Linked DNA regions of Oreochromis niloticus. The protein of the gene in region 1 binds, or shares a complex with, the protein of each later gene. Links are inferred from orthologs where the notes say so. Each region holds a gene or a part of one and is shown on either strand. Other genes may lie near its edges.

Region 1 (7,140 bases):
GGCTGTCGGAGGGGCGCTTTTTTGAACTGCAGGTCCTTGAAGGGTAATACAGTTTGAAGCTGGAGGATCTCTATATAAATATCCGATAGCAGCTAGGTCCCCTAACTTTCAGCAGCTGTTGAAAGGATAAAGTTGTGGTATGTCAGTGGTTAGAAATACCATTATTACTTTAGGATTAGTTTAACACAAAGTCAGGGTTGACCCGGGACCATTGCTGTGAGTCACAGTGTGCAGCATAAAAGTCCTTTCACATCAGACGCAGGATGTGCTGCTAATGCGCAGCATAAAAGTCCTTTCACATCAGACGCAGGATGTGCTGCTAATGCTAACTAAAAGCAAAGGATCCAGAATTTGTTGCGCTGGCTGCTGAGCTCTGTGGTTTTTTGCAGCAGCTCTACCTGTACTAAATGCACCTGCTCCTTGTCGTTTCTATCTCTGACTTTATGTCCTCTACAAGAGTTTGGTTTTTTTGCTAGTTCTTTAGATGTTCAATAAAAACATGTATGCTAATTCATAACGAAGAAAGCTTTGTAGTGAAGACTGTCATTTCCAAAACACTGCCCCCTCCCCGCGGTCTGCAGCGCTGTTGAAAAGGCTGTGGAAGTCCCTGTATTAAGCACGTAAACCTGTGACACAAAAATCACCAAACTCGGACGACCACAGACTGTTTTCCTTCATGGTGATGAAGGAAAATGCTGGGTTGGCATCATTGACTGTAGAAAACATGGACGACGCGACTCCGCCTCCTCCCATTGTGCAAAAATGAAGCCAAAATACCCCGCTTGTGGAGGCTGCCATCTTGCAAATTTGGAGCCAGAGTCTGCGCAGTAGTGACTTGAGGTGGAGCGACTGTGTAACGCTCCCGCCCACACACCCGCTGGACTTGACCGTAAACACGCCCCCCTACACTTTTTACGTAGCCCGGCTGCTCGAGTTTTTTTGCTGGTTTACCGCGACTGATGACTCGTTTAATTAAGGTAAATACAACCATGTCACTGTTATAAAAAGACACACAGCTTATCATCTTATAGTTCTAAAATCACTTTGTTGTTAATTCGTTTGCTAGATTAGCCGCTAGCATACGCGCTGTGTTGGAGGCTTGTTGCTAGCTAGATGCTACACACCTGCTACTCTAATAGTCTGTGTTATTGAAGGATTCAGCACTTCTTATGTTTGTTTTTATCCATTTTTAGACAGCGATGAGATAATCTGCACACTCTACAGAGGCCCAGAGTTACTGTTAATATCAAAAATATAATGCTGTCCTTTGAGATTTTAACATAAGACTGTGAGTGTAATGGATCTAAAACGGTTTAAATCTTCAGAGCCCTCTACAGCCTGGTAACATGGAAACTTTAAAAACATCAGCAGAACGTTTCAGTAGTGTAGTCTAATTTGTTCTTTTCATTTAATAACAGAGTCCATATTATATCAACAGCTACATTCACCCTGGGGAGAAACTAGTGAGGGAGACCATCAGGACCAAGCTGGGTTTCCTGGGTCCAGAGGTTTGGAGAAACTTCTTCCTTTTCTTTCATCACAGCTGTCCTGTGCCAGAAGTTCTGTTGACTGACTGAGAGAGGCTTCATTTAAGAAACACCAGGAAGACTGAAGCTCATCGCATTGATCAAGCAGGACTCATGATCTTCACCAGCAGCTCCCTCACAGGGAAATCTTCAGCACTCCTCCATAGGCCCGATCCAGGAGATGGATAAACCCAGCATTTCATGAACACTGTGATGGAGACCTTTGGTTTGTGTAATGTTATAAATACTCGGATACTCCCCAGAGGCTCCAGACTTTTACATAAAGATATTATATTCAGTCCTGTAGAAAGTTATATATTTAAAAATATATGATCCTCTCTGGTTACTCTGGTATGAATAACTCTGAATCACTTTATGGTAAATAACACACTATCTGCAAAAAACTGTGAAAGAATTCCAGATGACAAGTTTGTAGTTCAACATACAAGTGACGACCTTTGACCTTCATCAGGTTTTATTTAATTGTGCCAGAGAAAATCTCATATGCTCTTCATGCAGCTGAGTACATCAAGTGTTTAAAACGGAAGCTGTGCAGGTCTGAGATCAGCAGCTTTGTGAAACACCAAACTGAGGTCCTGTTAATGCTGATATATAGTGACACAGTTACATGAGTGATTAATCCTTTTGGGTTTTTGTTTTTAACTTTATCAATAAAGCTGCAGCTTTCACTGACAGCACATGTGGTACTTTAACCTTTGTACTGTTTTCATCAGTTCATTTTGCAGTTAACATGTGAACATGTTGGATGATCTGTCTGCTGTCACTGGGTGGTGCTGAGGTCTGAATCTGAGGGCAGCCCCTGTAATCACAAAGAGAACAGAACCATCACAAACTCAAATATAAATTTTATCCCTCAAAATTGAAATAAAGCTGATTCTTCTGTCCTCACACACTCAGGATCTGAAGTTCTTCTCTTACATTTTTTTCAGTATTACAGTACTCTACAGTCCTTTAATCCATAGTTCCTGATTAATGAGGAGTTACTGAAGTACAAGCTTTTAAAAAAATGTTACTGTCTTTACAGATGTGGCAAGAGACTGAAAACATGCTGTTGTTTGCATATATTTGATATTCAGCTCTGCACAGGAGCTGAAGCAGCGTGCAGCCTGTTGCTTTTACAGTATAATACTTGTAATAAAAGTGCAGTAACAGTAATTAGTGACTGATTAGCCCGGAACGTTTCTCTTAATTTCTTTAGTAAGTTCATTCACCTGCACAGATTAGCTAAACGAACCCTGACAGCCGAGTGCTCATTTTAGCTAGCTAGGTCTCAGGACCTAGCTAAGGACGGTAGTTACGGATTAGCTTACAAACACGATTAACTTACCGAAAAAGTGCAGCGGGGCCTCGGGTCCTTCTGTCGGGTAGTCCAGTTTACTGAAGAACACCTCAGGCTGTCAAGTTAAAACACTCGGTCGTGTTTTCAGAACGTAAACGCTGGCCCTCCTCTCAGAGCCTACGCTCTATCTGCTATTCCCGCACACAGATACGCAAGTTTCTTCCGTGACTGCAGCTGTCAGTCAAAGCCGCTATGATGACGTTTCACCCCAATTTAACATCGCCGCTGTAGGAATGAGAATCAAACTTATGGGAAAGGAGACCCCTTGGACATCAATCAGCATGATGAGAACTATTGATAACAAAAGACAGAATCTTTGGAAAAAAATTATCTAAGGAGAATAAATTTATTTTAGTCTGACCCCAGTCCCATCCGCTAACATGGAGGAGGCGGGGTTTATGACCTATACTGCAGCCAGACACCAGGGGGCGATAGAGACATTTTGGCTTCATTTTTGGAGAGCTGTCGCGTCGTCCATGTTTTCTACAGTCAATGGTTGGCATATAAAAGGGCATTTATTCCCTTCAAGGACCTGCAGTTCAAAGAAGCGCCCCTCCGACAGCCAAACCCATCTCTTCTCTGATTGGATTGTTACATTTGTGATTGACATGACATTGACCAATCAGATGAAAGGAAGAAAAATAGGGTCAAAATTCGTACTTGTAACTTGCAGGGTTTTTTTGGCTAAGTCCACACACAAATCTTTTTTACGCACACACAAATTCTTTTTACACATACAAATCTTTTTACACATACAAATCTTTTTTACACACACACACACAAATTCTTTTTACACATACAAATCTTTTTTACACACACACAAATTCTTTTTACACATACAAATCCTGATTTACAAGTACAAAATATTTATGACCACATTTTGAGCCCATACCGCCGCCCCGCCCTCTCCTCCCTGTGCAGCAAGCAGCAGGCGCACCTCGCAAACAGAGGGCGCCCTTACTCCCAGCAAATGGGCGATAGAAAACCGATCGGTGCCTATGCCATCCCCAAAATGTGTTGGCCAATCAAAATCCGACACACACACACACACACACACACATATAAAATCTAATGAGAACATCTAATAATGTTAATTTCCTTCTGGGCTCTGATTGGTCAAAGCAGACATACAAAAAAAACGGAGTCGGATTTGTATTGTTTAATGATGACGTCAGTCATCCGATCCGGCAGGTGGCGCGCCTCGCAGTGGTTCTCCTACCTTAAATGAATCTTAGAAGAAGAAGGAGCTGGAGGCGGAAGTGGGTTTGAAAGCGCAGCGCGCGGCCGCAGCGGCACGAGGATAAGATGGCGGCGGCGTTGGAGCGCAGCTACATCGAGATCTGCGGGTTCGAGAGAGAGGCCGCGCGGAGGCCGCGCGAGCTCACTGCGAATCTAGGTAACTCCTGCACTTCACCTGCGTGCCCCTGACGGCGGCTAGCAGGGAGCTAACAGCCTAACGGCCCGTACCTGCTGGCGTTAGCGTGTTAGCTTCCTGCTAGCCGCGCGCGGCCTGGAGGTGTTTCTGTTGTTGTTGTTTTTTCTTCCGAACTCTCACCTGACTAGGTGAGCGCGCACTGCTGAGCAAGCGAGCGAGTAAATCTTCCTCCGTCTCCGTTTAGTATCAGCTAGCTCCGTTAGCTGCTCACCTGTTGCGCACCTTGTCACGCGTGAACCCGCGCTGATCACGTGACCTTGACCTGCGGTCGATGGTGTCTGCGCCTCCGGAAGCAGCTGATTATTGATCTGATAAACACTGTGACTTGCTGATCAGAGCCTCAGACACCTGCAGGTCAAGAACCTGTTCAAACCGGACTCACCTGTCTTTCCGGTCTGCAGGTGTGAGCGCAGCACCTGGCAGCCTGAAGTTTCCTGACAGCGCGGGAGCGTTTCATTATGAGGAGAGCGGGAAGCTGCTGTCGGTCATCAGCAACAGGTTCATCCACTGGTGGGTACCAGCTGCTCTCCAGGTGCTCTGCAGGTGCTGTCAGCCGTTCTCTGCTAACACTCTCACTCATGCAGGTCCACGTCTGGGGACTCGGTGGTGCTGGTGGAGCAGTCTCTGGACACCAACTTGCTGAACAACGCCGTCCGGCTCCGCTTCACCCACTGTGCTGTCCTGCCCGGAGGAGTCACCATCCAGGAGACGCTCAGCAACGTCGTCATCCTCATCTCCACCAATCACAGCGTCCACAGGCTGCTGTTGCCCCACCCCACACGCATGTACCGCAGCGTGAGTACCTGACGGTGACCCTCAGCCTGCATGCTGTCCTATGGTCCGTGAAGAAGCCACACCACCAGCTGCAGGACAGCGTGCGGTTGTTGATTACTGATTACCGTTATCAATTGATTAATGAAAGTGTCACTATGGACACGACAGATGACTCAGACTTTAAGGTCTGATACCAAACTACCAACAGCCGTGTGAGATTACCATAGTTACCATGGTTACCATAGAAACAGATTTAGGTGAACGTGAAATGTAATATTACAATCAATGTAGAAATCAGCAAAACATAACAAACAGAAGAAATGTTTTTAAAAATACCAGAGGAAGGCGCACGATGGAGAGCAAAGGGACTGAACAGAGTCTGTGTGTGAGTGATGGAGGACACTCAGACCATGGTGAGGTGGGTGGGGGTAGGCTGTTGTTAAGTGTCCAAATGGACGCTGTTAGAGTCTGGAGGTGTGGGACCTGACTGGCCTGAGGCGCCCACCAGAGGGCAGCTCTGAGCAGGACAAAAAGTCGTACTAATCAAATCAAATGGACACCATACACAGTAGAAAATACGCGTGTGTGCAAATGATACAATCATACAGCTGTTAGCACAATTACTACGGTAACTGTTAACGAGATAACTGACCTCGAACACTCCTCTGTGCGTGTGTAGGAGCTGGTCACAGAGTTGCACATGCAGTCCATCTTCACTGATGTGGGGAAGCTGAGCCTGCAGGACCCCGCCCACAGCGCCCTCATCCCCAGCTCAGTGGGAACCACGGCAAGTCCCGGCGCTTCGTTCGCCTGGCTCAGTTACCACGGAGACGCACACTTCGCTCTGGCTTCTCCTGCAGGAGGCATCACGGTGGTCACCCTGCCATCGCCCGATTCTCAGGGTGAGGGGGAATTTCTATGTTTAATGTGGGCGTGGTACCTCGGCCGGATTTTAAGACGTGTGCTCGCCGTTTCCAGGCAACATGTCGGTGCTGGAGTTGAAGAGGAGCTCTGTGATGCAGCGGCTGTCCGGGTGGATGCCCACGGCAATCCGCGGCGAGCACAGCCCGGCCGACCTCGTGCTCAGCCTGGCCGTGCGGGAGCTGGAGGAAGACTCCTTCATCTTTGCGCTGTGTCAGGACCACCGGCTGCGCATGTGGTCGCTCAGGGTGATGACATCACACACACGCACACAAACACATTGTTGATGTGTAACGTTTGAGTCGCCATGTGCTGACGTGACTTCCGCCCCCTCAGGAGCATGGCTGTCTGCTGGAGGCGGACATGTTGGAGTACATGCCGGCGTGTAAGGGCGTGAAGCGCCTGCCGGGCCATGGTCACCGCCTGCGCCTGGCGTTCTCCTCCACCACAGGCTTGTGCGTGTGCGTCTACCTCGCCGTCCCTCAGCGGGGGCAGTTCACCGTGTTGCAGCTGGTCGCCACAGACAACAACCGCTACAGCCTTGAGCACATCTCCACACTGTTCAGTACACAGGTGAACGCACGGGCGGATCCAGGGGGCGAGCCTCGTTTTTGTGTTTGTGGTTACTTTCTGCATTCTGAACCGCTCTCTGTGAACAGGAGACGCTTGTGGACTTCACGCTGACCTCCTCGGACATCTGGGCTCTGTGGGTGGACGAATCCAACGCCACCGTGGTCAAATACATCAGCTTCGAGCAGTGAGTCGAAATGCCAGTGTCTTCCTCCTGTCCTCTGCTGATATTTCCATGTTCTCTACCTGTTTCCATCATCTGTCTCCGCACATGTTCCTCACCTGTCGGCATGTTTCACAGCAACACGGCGGCTCAGTGGAACCAGGTGTTTGTTCAGCCTCCACCCGAAGAAGAAATCCACATCGGAGTGGACCTGGACCCCCGGGTGAGACCAGTTCAGACCAGTAACCAGTGTTTTAATGAACAGGTAGTGCTGACCATGTGACCTCTGACCCCCTGACAGGAGACATATCTCGAGGTTCTCTTCTCTCCCCTTCGTTTCACAGCCTCGGCCATTGTGAAAGCCCTGCAGGTGAGAATCTAGCTGTGTGTC
Region 2 (7,526 bases), on another chromosome or scaffold:
AAGCCCTACATGACGGTAACACGTCCTGAATACTTTATATCAGCAAGTTACAGGACAATGTCAACAAGCCTTAAATCATCTGAAAGTATCAGAAAGTACCAACACAACTCTAGATGACAACTCGTAACAAGTCCCATATAATTCTGTACCAGTGGGTCCAAGAAAATATCACGAATCCAAATCAAGACACAATTCAGCAACCTGCAAATCAAATATGAAACTTTTAAGTCTCTAAGAATCCCAAGACAAGAATAACAAGTCCCAATTCCAGTTTTAATGTAAGGCCAAACTAAATCAAGTTCCAAAGAAATTCTAACATCTTATAAAATCCACAGACAAAATAATCCCAAATAATGACCAACAACTCAAGGTAAGCAAAGTAAGCATTCCTAAGTCCAGTTCTAAGCCCATCGCATAATAAGCAGCATTACATAGGAAAACTGATTAGATTATCTAACACTAGATACTGAGTATTCAGTGATCTTTTACTTGGTTTGTGGCTGGGTCTCACCTGATAGTATAAAAGCTGCATGGAGTTCACCTGGAGCTCATGTTGCTTTGCCCCTACCCACTGAGAGAAACGTGGAGAACAGTTAATGACTTTACTTCAGTCTCTGTGGAGTGTTTTGTCAGCATATACATTTACTCACCACTTGGTAAAGTGATGTCACCAGAACTCCAAGAGACGCGAACACAATCCCCAGCAAGTTGAACCGCACATCATAGTACGAGTTCAGTATCACTCCTAATGTTATGGGTACCTGAGGAGAGGGGAACAGATTGTGCTGACATTGTCTCTCACTTACCCCAAAGTGACCCAAACCCCAGTATCCTGCAAGAATCATTCAGATTGGCATGTTTCTACAGCTCTAACAAGCAGATGGGGCTTTGCTAACCAGTGTAAGTTTAATCTTGGTGGAGAAGGTCTTCTTGTAGTAGGTAGTCTGGATGAGGATGATGACAGGAGTGGTCATTGCTTTAGCCAACTGGTACGTTCCTATCGAGTTGTTCTGTAGGGAAAGGTTGGTGAAGGCCACGAACCCGCAGAAGCTCAGAGCCAGCCACACAATCCTGCGAATCGGAAGGCTTTTTGGAGCAAAAACATCCATTTTCTGGCAGAAGTAGAGTCCCAGCCAAGTGACCACAAAGTGAACGAGGGTCAGTGTCATGTTGGGGAAGCCATAGTGTACGTAGATCCATTTGTTGATGAAGACGATACAGATGGAGGAGAACAGGTTGACCAGCAGGCCAGCGACAATGCGCCTGTCGGCTAAAAAGCTGGCAGCCATGATCTGGGAGGCCTCAGAGTTAAAGTTACTCAGATGGAGCTTTGTTGAACTTAGCTGAGCTGCTCACACTGGTGAAAGAGAGATACGAGTGTTAGAAAGTCTAAAACAAAAAAAGTCTAGAAGCTCATGGTACCATGCATGATTTTTACAGCTGCTTTAATACAGAAATGCAAATTCAAGTTAGATGAACCAAAAAAATAATATAGTCCAAACATTACTGGATTCTTTTCATGGTCAATTTTACACAGACAGGGCAGATTAATCAGTTTACCTATGATTAGAAACATGGGTTGGGTTCCATTTTTACCCCAGTTTAAATTTCTACCAAACAGGTTTACAATCATTTTTTCTCTTCAACAGAAAGATGTCCAGACATGTTTTATCTATTACTTTGACTCCACTAAGTTTGTAATAGAACTTTAACACCTCTTCCACCTGCATTGTTTGTTTACCATCAACCTGAATTTCCCGGAGGAACCTACCCAAGGGATTATTATTATTATTATTATTATTATTATTATTATCTATCTGCAAGCTACAACTAAAATAAGTGTTTTTCTATTTGAGAATCCAACAACTACAATAAAAAGTTCATTCAAAAAGGTTTAACAAAGTACTGAATTAACTATATGAAGGTAAAGATATTATCATATTTTTACATAGACCTCCATTTTTAAAGTCTCAGAAGTAATTGAGCAAACTAATTTAAATATAGGGATTATTTTTGATACTTGGATGAAAGTCAGTGATCACCAAAAGCTGCATTTACTACTTTGAGATGCTCCGCCATGCCTTTACTTCAGCTCCTGTCAGCTGCTGCTTGTTTTATTGGGTCTCACTGATTTCAATTTTGTCTTCAGTCACAGAAAGGCTGTTTTATTGGTTTGAGATCCGGTGATTGACATGTCCAATGAAGAATATCACATTTTTATTTTAGTTTACTTTTGCAGCCTTCTTTAGGTCATTATGAATTTCCACTTTGAAGCCATTTAATCGGTTTTGTGACATTTGTCTGAATGTGAGCAGCGAGTACAACCCTTTATACTTTGCAATCCATCCTCATGTTTCTGTCAGCAATCACTTCAAAAATAAGCATTAATAGTAACCAGTAGTTTGCACCTTGTTGTAAATCCTCTCCATTTCCATTCATGGAGTCATCTCTTAGTTATAGACTTTGACTGTGATAGACCTGCCTCCTCAAGAGTCTTTTACTTGGTTAGATGTCATGAAGTTGTTTTTATTATCCACTTTAATTGTCCGTAGTGGCCTTTTGGGCCTTTAGGTGCTGCTGGGCTGAGCAGTGCGTTGACTTGGTGACTTCTGAAGTTTCTGCTCTCTATCATAGATTTATTTGTGTATTTAGGGTAATAATGGCCTCCTTCAGTTAACCCACGTTGAGCGCCCCAGTGAAAAACTTTAAAACATAAATTCAGTATTGGGAAAAAGAACCAGATCTTTTATCTTCTGCGAGGGAGCAGGGCTCATCTGGCCTTGAAACTGCTTATCAGTTTGCCCAATTACTTCCGAGGCTGTGAAAATGGGAGACTGTGTTTATGTCTGTAATTCCTAATCAGTTAGTGGACTACTTTTAATAAACCAGTTGATAGTCTGTGCTTCAATCACATCTTCAGTGTTTAATTTAAAATCCACTCCAGGTGTGGCGCTGTACAAATAGTTATGGACCTAACTGAATATTACAGATTAATATTGGTGTTTTTACTCCAATACACTGAAAGCACACAGAAGAAAGTTCCTTAAATTGTAATCCAGTGTCGTAAATAACATAATAATCGTGAAGTCCTCTACAAGCTTTCAGACTACCGGAGGGAACATTTTGCCGTTTGTAACGGTTAACGGTTAAAATAACGGAGTTCTGCCTGATGCTCTGTCTTACTTTATGACTTACTTAAAACCATTAGGTGGAAACCGGTCGAGCTACTCGTTCACAGCTCCACTCACATCTAAAACGATACGTGGTATATATTTTTAAAAAAAAAAAGACTTATCCGCTTCTCTGTCTGTCTGCCACGCACTGTATAAAGTTTACCTCGGGTCATCTTTCCATCTGCCTCCCTGCTTCTCCTCCGTCTTGCCTCGCTGCCGCCAAACAAACCCCGGAGTGGTACCGGTCTTCCCCGGCGTTCGAATCTCCTCTCCCGGCCTCTGCAGTGCCCAAACCCCCGCTGCTGCGCCGGAGGAATGTCTTCCCTGCTCTTCCGCAGATCGTAACACAGCCGTGACTTCCAGCAGGAGGAGAAGAAAAAAACACCCAGTGAGTGAGTGAGTATGTTCCTGCTTCCTCCCAGTTTAACACCGTTTACCGTTTGTGTCTATCAAGCAACAGCGGCTGCTAACGGACCGGAGGGAAGAGGAGCGCAGAGGTGGTGTATGTGGCAGATGTCTCACTCCATAGAGAAAACCGGGTGGAGCCCAGTCCTCTGCAGAATTGCTTTAAGTCAGCCACAATGAAGGGTTTTCCAGCCTGTTTAAGTCCGTGCCAAAGCATCTCAGTCTGATTTAAGTCCAAACTACCACACAAAGAACCTAAAGAGCAGCAGTCCCAGACCATCACACCACCACCGTGTTTGACTGTTAGTATGATGTTCTTTTTATGAAATGCGGTGTTAGTTTTATGTCAGGTGTAACAGGACTTAAACCTTCCAAAAGTATATTTTCACCAAAATATTCTGTGGACTTTGGGGTCATCAAGATGTTTCTTGGCTAATACGAAACTAGCCTTTGGCCCGTCTTTGGTCAGTGGTTTTCTCCTTGGAACTCGCCATTTTTGCCCAGCCGTTTTCTTATTGTTGAATCATGAACTCTCACCTTAACTGGGGAAGGTGAGGCCTGCAGTTCTTTAGATGTTGTTCAGGGGCTTTTGTGACCTCCTGGTTGAGTCATTGATGGGCTCTTGGAGGTTTTTTTGGCTGGCAACTCCTGGGAATTTTCACCACTGTTGCAAGTTTTGTGGATAATAGATGTCACTGTGGTTACCTGGAGTCCCAAAGACTTAGAAATATCTTTGTAACCCTTTCTACAGTGATAGATGTCAGTGACTTTGGTTCTTATCCATTTCTTTATATCGTGGCATTATGTGTTGCTTTGAGATCTTTTAGCTTACATCAGACAGGTTCTATTTTAGTGATTCAATAGATCTGGACGTAATCAGATTTGGATTGTTTTTTTTTTTCTATGATTAATAAAATACTTAAGTTTACAAAAAACAGTGGAGACATATACAAGGCTGGATGCAATCTAATTGCGACTCGTGGGGGCAGCAGTGTGAATTAAGAGACGCAGTCTGCTGAGAATTGAAAAGAAGTAGAAGAAGAAACCCCGTTAAACCTCGTGAAGCGGGAACTGATAACTCACCGCTATGGACTGGTAAAAACATTGTTTTTAAGCGTTATTCAGCAGTTATACACATTTTATTCTTATGTATGTTTAGTTGTGCATGTGTCTGGTGATTACAGACCGTTGGCTTCTTATTAGTCCGCTAGTGTGCTAAATTCAGGGACTTCAACTTTGCTAGCTGACGCTAACAATGCTAACAGCGCTAATGCTGCCGTTCACAGTGAATGGCGAGGCTAACCGGCTAAATGCTCTGGTTTGGGTACGTTGACAGTCGGGAACAAGAGCTGCTCTCCAGGGTGAATAAAATAAGAACTACTGGTTTAGTAGAGCTGTTAGCAGCCAGTATTTTGGAAGAACTACTGCAATTAGGGAAGTATTACATAAAGTTAGATTTACTAGGTTATAACTGAACTACGTTAAGTGTTATAAAGATTGCAATATGTTGTTGTTTTATGAGTACTAACATTTGATATGCTCTCAGCTATATAGATCAGCCATATATGGCCAAATTGTTTGCTGTAGTTGTTTTATTTACATTGCATGGGTTCACACAGACCTGTGACGCTTCTTGTTAGTTTAGGCACAGTTAAAGCCAGTGACTAAAATGTTTTTTAAAGAGAACCGTCGGAAGTGCCACGGCTTTTTTGTGTTGAACCCACAGTAACCTTTTATAAGTGATTAGAAAATTAAATTGCCCTTTGTCTTCTTTTGACTGCTTCTAGTAATTTAAAGATTTAAATGTAATGTCAAGAACAAGGTTGATGTCCAGAGCTGTGTCGGCTACAGAGAGATAAAGATGATGAGCCATACCATGAAGCTCTGGGAAAAGAGATGCTGAAGCTAAGAAGTGAGGGCCTTAAAAAGCAAGAAGCAATATGGCTTCACGGAAGGGCAGGTTTACAGGATCTTAGTGAGACCTGCTAAAATGTATGGTTTGGAGATGGTGGCACTGAAAAAATAGGTCGTCAAGCTGAAGTGACCAGGATGGACAGGATTAGATACAAGGACAGCTCAGGCTGAGATGGTTTGAACATGTGCAGAGGAGGGACTCGACAAAGGATGTTGAAGATGGCCTCAGGAGATTCATTGATGGTGTAAAGGTGGACTTGGAGAGGAGAATTTTAGGGACAGGATGACGGGTAGGGAGATGATCTAATGTCGCGACCCCTAAAGAGAGCAGAGAAAGAAAAAAGATGTAAATTCAGTGGTGTAAAAGCCTCTGAACTGCACATAAATTAATATGTTTATAATTCTCTAGGTAATGTGCTTTCTTGTGCTTCATCTTGTCCTTCAGGGCTCAGAGTGAGCTGCCGTCTCCGGTGGTTCGAGACGACGAGGTAACGGTTGCTGCCCGCAGGAGGAGGAAGAAAGTGGCCTGTATCCTGCTGCAGAAAGACTTTGACCTGATTCCTGTCCAGCCCCTACACCCACCCATTCACCCCAGCAGCTGCTGATGGGTCTTTTAATAAAGGGGAAAGGTGGAAATATAGCTGCAAGCTTTATGGTACATTCACCTTTCTGAAATGGGAACAGGAACCTGTAACCCTACGATTTAAACTGTGATTTGTCCCCTCTTGTCCATTTTAGATGGTGGAGTCACAGAATTGGAGGGCTTGATAACCTAGTTCAATTAATGTCGGTTGGTTTGGACTGCTTCATTTGGTGGAGCTTACACACACAAACGCATAAACACAGTCCAGGTGGGACATGGTGTATGGGTTGGATTATAAATGAGCTGCCATTGGTGTGTTACTGTATGGTGCAGAAATTGCTGTGATTATTGAGTCATGGTTAAGCTCTGTAGTATGAAGCAAGTGCTTCATGCTTCATTTCTATTTTAAAAAAAGTGGATTTTGTATTTCACTTTACTAATGCACTAAACTGACCGATTGATTGCCACCTGCATCTGTGTTTAGTATGGTGGCATAAGTAGACTGGAAGAGCTTAATTTATCTGGGTTTTTGTTGTGTGGAGTTGTTTGCTACAGTGTTGATTGATAAAGTAGAAGCTGCTTGTTTTCCTGACTGTTGCTGTCAGTCCCATCACCCGGTAGCGGCAGCCCTGTCATTTCCACAGTGACACCAGCCCGGCCCTTGCTGAGGAACACACCTGCTTCACTCTTCAGACAAGCAGGTAAGATAGATATATGACAGACAGACCCACAGGTATCAGAGGCATTTATATTTGACTAAATCTCCACTCTCTTCTCATTCATCTGTTTGTCTCAGTTACTCCCAGAGTTCCAGATGTTTCATCCATTTTGGCCCCAGGAGGTCGAACGCCTCGATACACACACACGCCCAGAAACGCACTCAGCAGTCTGGTAAGACACACACTTTTCTATTCATGTATATATATTTTGTTAAATAAATGAAAACGTGAGTTCTTCGCACTTCTACTGTTTTCCATGACACAAAGAACGGTCTCTTTGTATTAGTGATGTCACAAACTTTCTTTAATGTGAAAATACAGACAGCAGAAAAACATATTAATTAGTGAGGGTTTTGTTTAGGTAGTTGAGTTGTGATTGGTGGAAATGCTGTCACTAACCCAAACAGGCCAGCTGCTGACCAGTTAGCTTGCTCAGATACTCCAGACCTTCAGTGTATCAGTTTTGTCAAACCCTTCTTGAACTTAATGATGTATTACTTACAATCATATTATGTTGAACTCACTGCTAACTCCATGATGATGCTGTGTGTGTGTGTGTGTGTGTGTGTGTGTGTGTGTGTGTGTGTGTGTGTGTGTGTGTGTGTGTGTGTGTGTGTGTGTGTGTGTGTGTGTGTGTGTGTGTGTGTGTGTGTGTGTAGAATCTGGACGACAGTGATTGGACTAACAGCATGTACACGTCGCCTGTTTCGGGTCTGGAGAACACAAGTTTCT
Region 3 (7,628 bases), on another chromosome or scaffold:
AAGCATGATTAAAACAATTTCAGCTATCATTCAAAGGAAATAAACCACTGCATTTTCATCTTACATTGTAGAAGGGCATCTTGCTGAGCAAGGTATCCATCTGCTTGTACATGCTCCTGGCAGCAGGCTGTAAGGTGCCCTGTTTCACCAGCATCTGTCTGACTTCTTCCAACCTGCCCTGCAGCACATAACTCACCACCTGCACAGCACACACATGTGATCACTCAGGTCTCTCCAGAGAATTCATAACAGACAAAACACAGATGAAGCAGCAAATGCAGAACACCAACAGTGGAGATGTAATTTTAAAGATGTAACATGCTGCACCTACCACGTCCCAGTAGTCGTGGTGCTCAGCAGGGCTCTCACTTTGGAGCACCTCTCTGGCCCTCTCGTCCACGTCAGCCTTATGTAACCTTACCCAGTCCAGCAGGTGGAGCAACAGGGAGCCTGCTGAAAACACAGACACAGCCATGTTGCAGATACGTTTGTTTGGGTGTTTCTACAACCCCAAAAATCCAGTCATAAGATGCGGATTCCAACCTGGAGCAGCATCGATGAACAGCACTTCACACAGATTCCAGATCAGTTCTATGGCCAAAAGAATGGACACCTTTAACAAAACAAAGCAGATCAGGGTCAGGATAATGCCACTAAACAATGCAACGAAATGTACATCTGAGTAAAAAACTGAATGTGGATTCTTCCTCACTAACTGAGCATTAATGTCCCCTTTCAAATACAGGCAGTTTGACTGTGGTCATAAAACCCACAGAGCTGTGCCACGCTACTCAATTAAATCATGACATTATTAGTCAATTACTGACAGAGACACTCACACATGCTCTGTATGTGGACTAGTCCAGATAACGTTACTGCCACACAAACATTAGTACTTACCTGATTTCCACACTGAGTGGCCAACTCTACATTTCTGGTAGAAACTGCAAAAAGGAAAAGTTGTTTAGTGAGTAATCACACACATTTCCTTTGTTTTTATTGTATAAACAAGACTATAAAATAGAAATTTGAAAAAACTGCCAAAACTTTTATGGTTACATCAAATTGAAATTTTTTGCCAAAAGAAGTATATTTCAACAGTATTACCTGCAACTTGCTGAAGTTCCTCCATACAAGCACGGATCACGGATCGATAATTTTTGCTGATACTAACAAATCTAAGGAGTAAGGCAGAGGTAAAATTGTAAAACATACAAAGTGGGTGCTGCTTTGTGTGACTTTTTCAACTATTGTTATGCCACCGATATGCAATCCAACAATATGAACAAACAGAGGTGGGATTGCACCACGCGTCCTTACTGGGGTTTTTTACTCTTGCTAGGGAGTTCCTCTCTAATTGTCTGCAGGCCGACGAAGATGTGGTGAGACTCGTTAAAAAGCTTGCGTAAAATGGGGGAATATATGTCCTCATCTTTCCTGATCTCATGGATGAATGAGCAACCTGATCCTGAAGCACCTGAAACAAAGGCAGGTGGTGAAAGAACAACAGTAATATTATAGTTATTGTCATTACACATATAAAACAAAATTTAAATGTCTGAAAAAAATGGCTCAAAATATGTTTATTGAAAAATGTATATATGCACATGTCTAAAAGTAATCATAAAAACTATAGTAAAACACATCAAACAGTGCTATGAAAAAGTTACCTAAACAATAAACTAAATTAAAACAATTCTGCCAAGATGAGTGGGTACAGCGATGTGAAAGACTCGCTGCCAGTTATCCCAAATGCTTGATTGCATTACTTGCTGCCAACAGTGGCACAGTCAGTTACTAAGTTTGGGGGCAATTACCTTTTTAAGAAAAAAACAAAAACAAAACAAAACACAACAACAGGGCCTGATAGCACTGATTGCCTTTTATATTTCATCTGGTCATCAAAAATCAAAATGTGTTTGATAATATGAAACATGTAAGTGTGACAAACACGCAAAAAAAAAATAAGACATCAACAAGCGGAAAATACTTTTTCACAACATTGTAGCAGACATTTCACAGGCATTCACTACACCATTCATTCTCTTAAAAAGAAAAGGAGAAACAGAGGGAAACTGTGAAAGCATACATGGTGTCCTGTGCTAATTTTGAAACATACCTGATGCTTTGTATAGTGTCTCATATACAAGAATATCACCAGGACCCCATGCAAATCCCATGTGCTTTCCATCACTGATTGCAGGGATATTCTGCAATTAAAAAAGGAGAAACACTGTTACTACACTGAAAATGATGTGAATAACATGATGAGGGTTAAAATTAAATCATTCCGTTTCAGATTTAATTATAATATTATGTGAGAAGGTTGAGTGGTGACTGAGACATGGTCTAGCTATATTACTAACTCAAACTGTAGTTAATGCTGCTCGTAATTCTAACTCATCTTCTTATAATCTTGCCACTTTTATACTTGTGACATGGCTGAGTGTGTGCCCCTTTCCATTTCTTGACAACTTACAATATAAATATTCAAACGGGTCGTTAAAATAGGTGTTTGCGAAAGTTAGCCTGTTAGCAAAGCCATTTAGTGCCAATGAGGAGTTAAAAGCACTAAGCTACAGTGGCTACTTACAGTAATAGTGGGCTCAACGTCTACCTCCTCCATCTGGGAACAATATCATCGACACAGAAAAGACAACAATGTGAACTTTTTTGGCTATAAACACGCCATGAACTGCAAATGTGGACCGGTACTGCTTACGCGCCTCGCTCTTTCAGTCGAAAGCACCTGCTGCGCATGCGTTACGATGTCACCGAAAGGGGTGCCCGTCTACCTGCCTGTTTTTCCGTCGGCTGAGCTTGACTCGGGATTTTGGATTTATCGCGACAAATGCAGAAAATACAGCTTATCACTAACTTTATAACTGCCTCCCCGGACTCACCTACGAGAGGTCATTACCAGCATTAAGAAGCTGGGTTTGTCTTTTGCTATCCACAAACATGCTACCCACACTAATGTCTCCAATTGAATCTGTGAAGAATCAGTGCAGCTTTGCCCTGTACTGTTACAGTTTGAGTTCGTAAAGGCCACCATTGGTTCAGTACACCTACACATCACCATCAGGCAAAAACAAAAAAACAAGATGGCCACTGGTATTTAAAGGGTTAAAACGAAAAAGGAAATGGAAAAGTGCACATTTGGCTCTCCCCATGCAGTGAGGATCATGTGTGGTGATGCTGACTGAACTATGCTGCACCCATGCGAGCTCAGCAGGGCGATAAGGGGTATTTAATGAGATAACCGCTTCTCAAAACCTGAAAACAAAAGGGAAAACATCGCCGTGCGCGTGCACGTGCATCTGCCTGCCTCTTTAACGCGCATTGTGACTCTCCCGCCCTTGCCCAGACTGCGCTTTCAACCTCGTGACTACTCGGTGTCCACTCAACGCTCGTTGAGGTGGACGCGCATGGGCGCGTGGCCGCGCACGTTCGGTTGTAATAGTCTAAACGGGCACGTGTACGTGCGCGTACTCGTGTTCTTTGTGTGGCAGTGTAGAGAAGCGCCAAAAGAGTGACCATGGCTGATGAAAAACCAAAGGTGAGTGTCTCCACAGTGGATTGAAATGCCAGTTTACTCCGCCTGATTTTTTTTGACACGTGCGTGTGTAGAAATACGGTTATTTCCGCATGTTTCGCTGTGCCTTTTTGCAAAGTTACAAGCTGAAATTCAACTACTAGCTGTACCTACTTTGATAGACCGGAAGGTTTGTGAACGCGCATCCAATGGCGCGCGGACCTCTTTCTGCTTGATAACACACAGCCAACCAGCTGGTGTCATCCCCACTGCATGCCTCATTTCGCCTGTGTGTGTGTGTGTGTGTGTGTGTGTGTGTTTGTGTGTGTGTGTGTGTGTGTTTGCGTTTGCGTTTGCGTTCTTGCATGTGTGAATGGCTTGTGCCACTGTGGGAGAGTGTACCGGTGAGAATCTGTTGGTGCCACTGAAACTATATGAATCATCACTGTGGTGATCTCAGGCTCACTCTGAGTCTGCAGGCGAAGCGAAAAGGGAGGATTTAAGATTTAAATTTTTTAAATTTTAAATTTTGTTTAATCCGAGAAATAGTTTGTATACAGTATTGTGCAAAAGTCTTGAGCCATCCCTCATTACTCTCTGTTTTGCCTACTCAGTGATCATACCCAAGTTTTCCAGGTCTTTCGTGTTTTTTCCTATTTGGAAAACACATTTCTTTAACTTACTTTTTTTATGCCACAAAAGGCTTAAAATTGTGTTTTTGCACCAACAAAGTGATTCCCACTTTGGGAAAAGACCTAGCATATCTCAGCACTGTGTACAGTGTGTCCTTACATTTTAGGAAATTGGACAAGTGGAGGACAAAAAAGGTTACAGACTTTAAGATGAACAGATGATCAGCATCTGAAATTCATGCCCATAAGAAATGGGAAAAATTCGGCAAAAACCTGACACAGGACCTGAGGCATGCACCTGGACCTTCAGATGATCCATCTACTGTCCTCTGAAGCCTCATCAGAAATGGCAAGAAGCCATTTTCAAGGAAGAGAAAAACGAGGAGAAAAAGCTGAGGTATCAAAATTAGACAAGAACTGAGATTTATAATTTTTTTTGATTTAAATCATCAATATGTACAGAGGAGGTCAAGAGAGAGGTACAGCAGTGAGTGTCTACATCCATCTGTCAAACACAGTGGAGGCTCTGTCATGGTTTGGGTCTGCATTTCAGCCAATGGTGTTGGGGGATCTTGTCACAGCTGATGGAAACACAGAAAAGTACCGTCAGATTTTGATCCACCGTGTAATCATCTGGAAAGCATCTGATTGGCAAAAGGCTCATTTTTGAGCGCAGTAAAAGCACACCTTGGATAAAAAAGAAAATAATTTTTTTTAAAAACAGTGGAACACAATGTCGGTGATGGGTTGGTCTCCCCAGAACCTGAACCTCAACATTATTGAAATAGTGTAGCATCATGTTGAAAGAGATTAGACCAAAAAGCAGTCAACATCCAAAGAAGAGCTTTGAATGTCCTTCAAGAACCTTGGATAACTACCTAGACTACTTAAAGAAATTACAAGAAGGCTTTCCTTGGAGAGTTCAGGCTGTGTTGGAACAATAAAGTCTGGTCATATGAAATATTGATTTTCAAGCTCATACTGTATTCTCAAATACGTTTGCATGTTTCAATAAATTGCTGCAACTATTTGCCATTATCCTAACAAAATATAAGAAATGAGTGGTGGCTCAACACTTTTGCACAGCACTGTATATCTAAACAATTTCAAAATATGCAAATCAAACTGGTCGCGCATTCTCCAGTCCTGGGGAATTTTACGCCTTTGGGCTTATCAACCTTCCTTTTATGGATGCTGACATATCTTTCTGGCAGTTACACATTGTGAAAGTGAAGTCAAACTCATAGCAGTGCTGCTTTTGTACAGCTCAGTCTTTTCCTACTCTGTTTTGGCGATAATGACACGGCTGGGTTGATACTGACATTTGCCTGCTTTCTTCCTCCAAAAGAAAATTGATCAAGAATCAATAAAGAATTAGCACAATTGATAATGTCATGGATATTAATAAGCTCTTGCCAATATTCTTCCCTAGCCACCTGGTGAGCTGTTTAGGTGTGAATTCATTATTTCATCACGCTTCTGCAAAATTAAAAGACCACCGAAGGCACTAAAGGGACTGAAATTACGCATTTAATAATAACAGAAAATACCGTGCAGCCTTTTCCCCCTGCAAACCTGTAACTAGTGCAATGTTCTGGTTAGTCAAAGTCATTTTTTTTTGTTCCTTCACTGTGTTTCTCTCTGTGCTTTTATCCCTCAGGAATCAGTGAAGACAGAAAACAATGAACACATAAACCTGAAGGTAGCGGGTCAGGATGGATCTGTAGTGCAGTTCAAGATCAAAAGACACACACCGCTCATCAAACTCATGAAGGCCTACTGCGAGAGACAGGTGATTATGGCCCTGAGGCATTACACTAACACTGATCATTTCCTAAATGGGCATAGATCTTTATAAGCAGAGTGTAGCTACAGTTAAATAGACTCCTTGTTATTTTCTGTTCTCACCACATGGGGGGAACTCGACTTGGAGTATTATTTCCCCAGAAATATCTGTCGAGTGCTCCTCTGTACACCTCTGCTACTAATCATATATACACTTGATGTAATTGATAGTTAGCTGTTGGATTGTATTCTAAATAACATGTTTAGGTGTTATTAACAATAATCCTGCTTTCTTTTAATTGACCTTTACCCTGCATCGCTGCACACCATTTACAGTTGGCAAAAAGACACGGGTGTATAGAAATAACATTTACTGGGAGAGTTGCCTGCCCTCTGTGGAGCAAGGCTTGCAAGTGCTTACAGGTTATGCTGTTTTAACATCATAAGGAAATCATTACTGGAGTTACTTAATGTTTTAGAGGCCCGACTTTGAAGTTTGCACACAGTTAATCGTGTTTTACAACCGAATAGGATACAATTAAACCATTTACTTTCAATTCTTTGACACTTTTCACACATGCATTTAATGACTGCAGATTATATGTTTGTATTCTAGATGCCAAAAAAAGCAGTTATGCCAGGGCATCTTAAAATTTACCGTAAAATATATGCAGGCATTTTAAAAAGAAGGTTTTCATAGGACTATGTGCGATCCTCTGAAAAACTAAGTACACCTTTACTACTTCAATAGGGATCAAGGGGACAAGTAGCAGCCAGGTGTTGCTAATCAACTTGTACTTGATTAACTCATGCCAACTATTAAGCGAGGTGGAGGGGTCACGATTTGGGTTTGTTTTTAAGCCACAGAGCCACAGGCCGTTTGTCTGACAGCTAAAGCTTGGCCAAAAGTCTCAAATACTTTAATCACATTTAACAGACACATCACGTGCTAAAAGATCCATCCATCCATCAGACAGTAACTCATCACAGTTGTTGTTTCACTTTTCCTTGAAAAGGTTTCTATTGCAGTTCTTCTCTTCCTCCTCAAATGCAGTTAAGGTCTACAGCTTTAATGCAAATACCACCTTGATAGCGTAGCTTTAACGCTTTACGTGGCTCTTGCATCCCTTAAATGAACCTCCCTTATCGTCATCTGTGATTTCACAGTAATCGCAGAAGACATCTAATCTTTTCCTCCTGCTGTTATGGATTAGCTCAGATTTTAAGCTGTTCTCTGCCAAGCTACTTGCTGTAATGGCATGCAGGAATTTTGACTTTTGTATGAATTAGCACTGCACTGAGCATCACTCTGATTCTCTATTAATTGCAGCTGTGTTTGCATTGCTACAAAAGCAATTCCCAAGGTTTTCTAAAAGAGCTGTGCACAAAAGTAAAAAAATATGTAATAGAACATGAGGTCTGAGATCCTTTTTATTTGAAAGTCAAATAAGGGTTCAACTTTGTGGAAGAATGGAAACCCAATCACAGTGTTATCTGTTCCTTGGACTCCCATCAGGGTAAAAGAGATGTTTGTCACACAGCTCTTTTTTTAAAAGTACAGCCAGAACCAGATGGTTATCATTATTCCTTCATTTCTGCTTCACAGCAAGACATGTTTTTTTTTTCTGTCTCTGAAACGTCAGCTGCCTTATCTTCAACATGAGCGTATTATTGTC

Evidence for each region. Proteins that work in one complex are often made in the same cells at the same time.
Region 2: nup160 (region 1) and nup107 share a complex: the UniProt entries of both Homo sapiens proteins name them as parts of the nuclear pore complex. The link is inferred for Oreochromis niloticus from reciprocal best matches to the Homo sapiens genes NUP160 and NUP107.
Region 3: nup160 (region 1) and nup85 share a complex: the UniProt entries of both Homo sapiens proteins name them as parts of the nuclear pore complex. The link is inferred for Oreochromis niloticus from reciprocal best matches to the Homo sapiens genes NUP160 and NUP85.

Annotation. Positions count from the first base shown.
Region 1 is NC_031972.2:2,109,254-2,116,393, reverse strand, and holds the start of nup160 (nuclear pore complex protein Nup160), read left to right. Parts: upstream 1-4,121; 5' UTR 4,122-4,191; coding exon 4,192-4,282; intron 4,283-4,722; coding exon 4,723-4,831; intron 4,832-4,905; coding exon 4,906-5,116; intron 5,117-5,774; coding exon 5,775-5,997; intron 5,998-6,073; coding exon 6,074-6,264; intron 6,265-6,352; coding exon 6,353-6,589; intron 6,590-6,675; coding exon 6,676-6,773; intron 6,774-6,887; coding exon 6,888-6,972; intron 6,973-7,050; coding exon 7,051-7,119; intron 7,120-7,140. UniProt on the Homo sapiens protein: Functions as a component of the nuclear pore complex (NPC). Involved in poly(A)+ RNA transport.
Region 2 is NC_031981.2:19,599,197-19,606,722, forward strand, and holds the start of nup107 (nuclear pore complex protein Nup107), read left to right. Parts: upstream 1-4,517; 5' UTR 4,518-4,665; coding exon 4,666-4,673; intron 4,674-5,937; coding exon 5,938-6,020; intron 6,021-6,026; exon of another isoform or gene 6,027-6,121; intron 6,122-6,230; exon of another isoform or gene 6,231-6,478; intron 6,479-6,680; coding exon 6,681-6,776; intron 6,777-6,871; coding exon 6,872-6,966; intron 6,967-7,453; coding exon 7,454-7,526. Other genes in the region: slc35e3 (solute carrier family 35 member E3), read right to left, coding at 512-571, 651-761, 897-1,289. UniProt on the Homo sapiens protein: Plays a role in the nuclear pore complex (NPC) assembly and/or maintenance. Required for the assembly of peripheral proteins into the NPC. May anchor NUP62 to the NPC. Involved in nephrogenesis.
Region 3 is NC_031969.2:17,372,224-17,379,851, reverse strand, and holds the start of nup85 (nuclear pore complex protein Nup85), read right to left. Parts: upstream 3,010-7,628; 5' UTR 2,727-3,009; exon of another isoform or gene 2,723-2,726; intron 2,627-2,722; coding exon 2,594-2,626; intron 2,211-2,593; coding exon 2,120-2,210; intron 1,478-2,119; coding exon 1,321-1,477; intron 1,179-1,320; coding exon 1,108-1,178; intron 945-1,107; coding exon 901-944; intron 614-900; coding exon 544-613; intron 454-543; coding exon 332-453; intron 200-331; coding exon 65-199; intron 1-64. Other genes in the region: small ubiquitin-related modifier 2, read left to right, coding at 3,539-3,559, 5,828-5,959. UniProt on the Homo sapiens protein: Essential component of the nuclear pore complex (NPC) that seems to be required for NPC assembly and maintenance. As part of the NPC Nup107-160 subcomplex plays a role in RNA export and in tethering NUP96/Nup98 and NUP153 to the nucleus.